Linked DNA regions of Kluyveromyces lactis. The protein of the gene in region 1 interacts with the protein of each later gene in a pairwise test. Links are inferred from orthologs where the notes say so. Each region holds a gene or a part of one and is shown in the gene's direction. Other genes may lie near its edges. The genes, in order: GLC7 and SDS22.

Region 1 (3,197 bases):
AATATCCTAAAACGACAACCTTGGGAGACGTGGTCATCGCTCATTGTTACCCTGGTTTCGTTCATAACGATTTCCCTCTTTCCCTCATTTTGGTCTCCCCTATATCATCACTATACATCATTTCTCTAACTTATCGGGTAGGGCAGAACCAACGAAGTGAGAACACATCCAAACCAACGGATTCTATGCCTTGGTGTTGCCCGAAATAGCAAGGTGCGGTAGCTTATTGTACGCCCTTGTTTTATTTACTATATGTATTTTTTCATGTATCCCTAATGGAGAATGTAACGAACTGCAGCCTGCCAGCTCTTTACATCTTGATTCTAATAATAAATATGGTAAACGAGTGGAAAGAGAAGAAGAGAAGAGAAGAGAAGAGAAGAAGAGAAGTAGGCAAAGAAGGCAAGGGACGTAAATGTCAGAGGCTGCGTGCGCGAGCTGCGGTGCGAAATGCTAGGCAGAATATAGACACTGCTACTGCTGCTGCGCAGCAGCAGTAGCAGTAGTAGTAGCATCTTTGCCATCGAAACCCGACATCTCTGAAATACCTAGCACCCTCCCGCTCACAAACAAAAACAGAACACAACCCATTCCATAACTAAATAGTACATATACGACACTTGGCAAGGCAACACTGGGCACTAGCCCCATCCCTAGCCCCAGTTGGTTTTCCAGTCCAATGCGAAGCGATACCAAGCTGACACTGCGACTTCTTTTCTTTTTTTCCCATATGAAGGAGAACAAAAGTGAAAATTGAGAATTGAAAACTTTCGGTAACGCTTTTTGGCATTACTTACAACTTGTGTTTTATTCATTGGGAAAACACGGTATTTTCAGTGTTTTCCTTCCCATTTGTTTCCGGGAAGATCATCAGTATTGGCGCCAGCTCGAGTCAGGTCAGTGTGTGGTTATTGGCGACAGGTTTGAACACAATACGAAACGGTGTAGATCTCGTTTTTCGGGTTATTTTCTAATTCTATTTTTTTTCCTTTAAAACTCTGTGTGTGTTTTTCTATTATTTTTTCTTTCAATCAATTGATTAAAAAAAAAAATTAATATTATTAAAGAAAGATAATTATAAAACATAAGAGATTGAGAGACTTACGTTCATACGAAGGTTAGAAAGAATACAGCAGGGTCTGTTTGTTTGTAGAAATTGGAAGTGAGACAATATTGCATCTTCAAACCAGGGTAATTTCTACTAGTACCTTTTTTTATCTTTTAAAGTTGCGGGCTATATTCTATAATCTGTTTGCTTCGTTAGGAAAAAAAAATAAGGATTAATAAGAACCAATACTTTTGGATAATCCAAGACACGGAAGCATCACAGTTGCCATCGGTTACTTCAATTATTAAGAACGTTTGATATAGTACCGCGATAATTATAAAACAAAGGAACAAGGAATAAAATAAGAAAAATGGATCAACAATCAGTAGACGTTGACGATATCATTGATAGATTGTTGGAAGTGAGAGGGTTGAAACCTGGCCATCAGGTTGACTTGGAAGAACACGAGATTAGGTATTTATGTTCCAAGGCCAGATCTATTTTCATCAAGCAGCCAATCCTATTGGAATTGGAGGCACCAATTAAGATTTGTGGTGATATCCACGGTCAATATTATGATTTGTTACGTCTTTTCGAATACGGTGGGTTCCCACCAGAATCCAACTATCTGTTTTTAGGTGATTATGTGGATCGTGGTAAACAATCGCTAGAAACCATTTGTTTACTGTTGGCTTACAAGATCAAGTATCCGGAGAATTTCTTTATCTTGCGTGGTAATCACGAATGTGCATCGATCAATAGAATTTACGGGTTTTACGACGAATGTAAGAGACGTTATAACATTAAGCTTTGGAAAACTTTTACGGATTGTTTCAACTGTTTGCCTATCGCTGCGATTGTCGATGAAAAAATCTTTTGTATGCATGGTGGATTATCCCCAGATTTAAATACCATGGAACAAATCAGACGTGTGATGAGACCCACCGATATCCCAGACGTGGGGTTATTATGCGATTTGTTATGGTCCGATCCGGATAAAGATATCGTTGGATGGTCAGAAAACGATAGAGGTGTCTCGTTCACTTTTGGTCCTGACGTAGTGAGTAGGTTTTTACAAAAACAAGATATGGAATTGATCTGTAGAGCACATCAAGTCGTCGAAGACGGATACGAGTTTTTCAGTAAAAGACAATTGGTAACATTGTTCAGTGCTCCAAACTACTGTGGTGAGTTCGATAACGCTGGTGCTATGATGTCTGTTGATGAAAGTTTATTATGTTCGTTCCAAATCTTGAAACCAGCTTCTAAGTTATTGGAACGAAACGTAGTGAGAAGAAAGAAATGATGAATTTAAATTTAAACCTTCTTAATCATCATCATCATCATCATCATCATCATCATCCTCATCTCTCCCCCCCCTTTAAACAACGAATCCCATCTCAAAGAAAATCCCCAATGAAAAAACCAGAAAAAAATAAACTATTAAATTCAAACATAAAGTATAAGATATATTACTGGAAAAACTTGCTGAGCTAGAACGTTTTCCTTTATACCTTTCTAATATATTGTAACATAATTTCTTTGTCGAATGTCAAGCGGGCTGCTACAATTTCAATTTCAAACCTTTATCTCCACTTTACTCTCTTATCACCCTTTTACACATATCCCATCATTCATGTTATTAGTATATATATACGCAGTGATATATACATATATATATATATTCTACATATTGCAAAGGAAAATTCTGTAGATTAGCCGTTGAGCCTTTTTCCATACATCAATCGACTAAACCAATAACACGTACGTTAACATAGTGCTGTAGACACATCGTGTTTTTTAGCATAGACTGAAAATTTTGGAAAACCCTCTTTTTTCGATCTTTCTATGTGTTATTTTTTTTTTTTTTTGGCAAAAAGTTGAAGTCGTGTTTTATTTGACGATCTGTTACTTACATGACATTTGTATTCACACACTTCATCGAGTTGAGTCCCTTCATCTTTGTTATTGCACTACCCTCAACCGTCTAGTGAAAAACAACTAGTAGCCAGAGAGTCCTTACATATAAGAATGCTATTACAATTTTTGGTGTTACTATTTGCTGGTTTGTGTAACGCACACACGGTACATCTACCAGCGTACGGTCGTCGTTGTTTCTTTGAAAACTTGAACAAAGGTGACGAGCTAT
Region 2 (3,168 bases), on another chromosome or scaffold:
TCAAGATCCATATTCTCAGAGAGCCACTCTATCAGATCTGCTGGAAGTAACGGAAGTGCAACAAAAAACAGTATGCATGATCTCACCGTTACCTCTTCCCATAGAACTACAAAAAGCAACGCGCCATCTCACGCAGCGTCACATGCTACGAGAATATCTCGTCCTACCACACATATCAGCATGCTAAGAAGCACAAGATAGCATAGAATAACTTTCTCCCACTGCAACTGTTCTAATTCTCACCTCATGTAGTCTATATAACAATCCAAATACATTTAGGAAAACATCAAAACGTACGGAGTGATTTATGTGCCTAAGCAATTTTTCCCGGTAAAAAATCGATCAAAAGCCAATTCTTTGCAGAGAGAGAGTTTGGATTAAACCTTTCTACCACAACTATTTTCAACGATCATTTGTTGTACATTCTTTTTATTTTACATTCGATTATTTCAGATCGTTGTTACTGTACAGTATAGTGTCTAGTGATATTACAGAGAGATAAAGAAGGAAAGCAAAGATGTTTAGAAGTGTATTCCGTGCTGCCCCAAGTTTGACCAGAGTTTCTGGATTGAGAAGCGGATTTGTAAAGCCAACTTTTTCAAGTGCTTCCAGGTTCTATGCTTCTTCTTCTCTATCCAAAGAAGAAATCACAACCCGTATTGCTGATGTGATTAAATCTTTTGATAAGACAGCTTCTGCTACTTCGATTACTGCTAACACTCAATTTTCCAAGGATTTAGGATTAGACTCATTGGATACCGTTGAATTGTTGGTTTCCATTGAGGAAGAATTCGATATCGAATTCCCAGATAAGGTTGCAGATGAGCTCAAGTCTGTCGGTGAAACTGTGGAATACATCGCTTCCAGCCCGGAAGCTAACTAAGCAATTGGGATCCGAAACGTTGCCCTTCGGTTTTACCAGAATTTAATGTGGAAGAATGTACATATATTGACACACATATATAACTTATAATGAAAGATAAGATAGTTTTGATGAACTGTTTCATGGCCAAAGTGCTATATGTAAACGTCTATTTGTATATCCTTATTACTCCATATGTTTGAACTTGATTTCCATCGGGTCATATGATTTGTAATTCAAACATTTTTCCTTGCGCCCAATGATCACTGAGTTCAATTTTTAAGGTTATGTAACATGCAAACCACATCTTTAGACAGACGGTTGTTGAGGTAAAGACAATGGTTATAAACGCCATTTAGTATTAGATCCGAACCCATATACTTCCAATATATAAAAAATGAGCCGTGAAGAGAGAGTTTTGAGTGATACTGATAATGAAAATACGAATGAGGAAATAGAGACTGGTATTGATTCCCCGGACGAATCATCTTCAGGGTTGTTCACAGCGGGACGCTCGTTACAATCGAACGTCATAGAAGACCACAACCCTGACTATATATCTGCAGATGCAGAATTGGCCGCAGAGATACCAGATGACACCGAAGTAATTGACTTAGTGCATTTGAAAGTACTGGCGTTGGAAGACTTGAATTTGTTGAGATTTAAGAATTTGAAGAAGTTATATTTAAGACAGAATTTGATCGAGTCAATAGCTGAACTGGAGGTACTACCGTTAGAAAACATGGAAGAGATTGATTTTTACGATAATAGAATCAAACACATCTCGAAAAGCGTTAATCTTTTCTCTAATCTAAAGACACTCGACTTATCTTTTAATAAGATTAGAACTATCAAGAACGTCGATAAATTGGTAAACCTCGAGAATTTGTATTTCGTCCAGAATAAGATATCTAAGATTGAAAATTTAGGAACCCTTACAAAGTTGAAAAATCTTGAGCTTGGTGGCAACAGAATCAAAGAAATTGGTCCTGATGACTTGAAAGGTTTGGCTAATCTCGAAGAGATATGGTTGGGTAAGAACTCAATCCCTAAATTGATAAACTTGCAACACCTCAAAAATTTGAGAATATTAAGCATCCAATCTAACAAATTGAAGAAATTTGAAGGACTTGAGGAGTTGGAGAACTTAGAAGAATTGTATGTCTCTCACAATTTTATTTCGAAGATCGAAGGACTTGAAAATAACCTAAAATTAACTACTTTAGATGTAACTGGTAATAGACTTACGAAGATCGAAAACTTAAAGCATTTGACACATCTTACTGACCTATGGGCGTCTGATAATCAAATTGATCAACCGTTCGAATCTCTAGGCGAAGAATTGGGGAAATTACCTGAATTTGAAACGATATATCTCGAAGGAAATCCAATACAGACTAAAAATCCTACACAGTACAGAAGAAAGATTATGTTGAATTTGGGGGAATCGCTTCAAAAAATCGACGCTACGTACGTTCGTGCCTAATTAAATAAATATACGCTACGCACTTCTATTGAATGAGCAGTTAACCAGTATTTGCTGCTTTTCCCTCAGTTATATATATGTATGTACATATCTAGCACAAACAACAGAACATCATTTACTAATCAATATTTTAACCAACTTACATCATTGATAAGAAGAGAGGAAAAAAGGAACTTAAAACATGTTAGTCGGCATAAAAGCTGATGGTAAGAGGCATAAAATTGGTCGGAACGTTAGCCATGGTTAAAACTGCAAACCACACTTTTGTTGGTTCTCTAGCCTGCCAACGAGACTCATTTAAGGCCAAAGAATTTGAGACTACTGTAATTGCATGCGATGTAGGTAAGAAGAAGAATACCTTTGAGATCGAACTTCAGGATACTATCTTGTTTCCAGAAGGTGGCGGACAACCTAGTGACTCTGGGAAATTCCTTCTCAAAACTGGGGCCTCAATTCCTGTCTCCTCAGTATTCAGAAGAGGACTGCATGCAGTTCATATCACTGATAGGGATGTTCCAGTCGGAGCTAAAGTGTCTGTTGAAATTGATTGGGATAAGAGATTGGACTATATGCAGCAACATACGGGACAGCACTTGGTAAGTGCAATTCTTGAACAGAAGTGGGGGTTGAAAACCCTCTCTTGGTCTATGGGGGGTATTCCAAGTGAGAAGAAACCAAAGATTGAACCGTATGATCTGTTCAACTATTTGGAGATTAATAGGAGATTGACCTCAGAAGAAGTCAAGGAGTTGTCCGATACCGTCACCGAATATATTACGGTGAATCCTAAAACAATTACGATTTTCGAAGGAGATCCAGA

What was found.
Region 2: the proteins of GLC7 (region 1) and SDS22 interact in binary tests that used the Saccharomyces cerevisiae proteins (3 or more experiments, as listed by UniProt). The link is inferred for Kluyveromyces lactis from reciprocal best matches to the Saccharomyces cerevisiae genes GLC7 and SDS22.

The regions. Positions count from the first base shown.
Region 1 is NC_006042.1:1,158,128-1,161,324, forward strand, and holds GLC7 (type 1 serine/threonine-protein phosphatase catalytic subunit GLC7), read left to right. Parts: upstream 1-1,418; coding exon 1,419-2,354; downstream 2,355-3,197. Other genes in the region: EMP24 (Emp24p), read left to right, coding at 3,080-3,197.
Region 2 is NC_006040.1:237,230-240,397, reverse strand, and holds SDS22 (type 1 protein phosphatase-activating protein SDS22), read left to right. Parts: upstream 1-1,259; coding exon 1,260-2,348; downstream 2,349-3,168. Other genes in the region: guanine nucleotide exchange factor DCK1, read left to right, coding at 1-201; ACP1 (acyl carrier protein), read left to right, coding at 518-883; KLLA0_D02794g (putative alanine--tRNA ligase), read left to right, coding at 2,552-3,168. UniProt on the Saccharomyces cerevisiae protein: Regulator of the mitotic function of yeast type 1 protein phosphatase.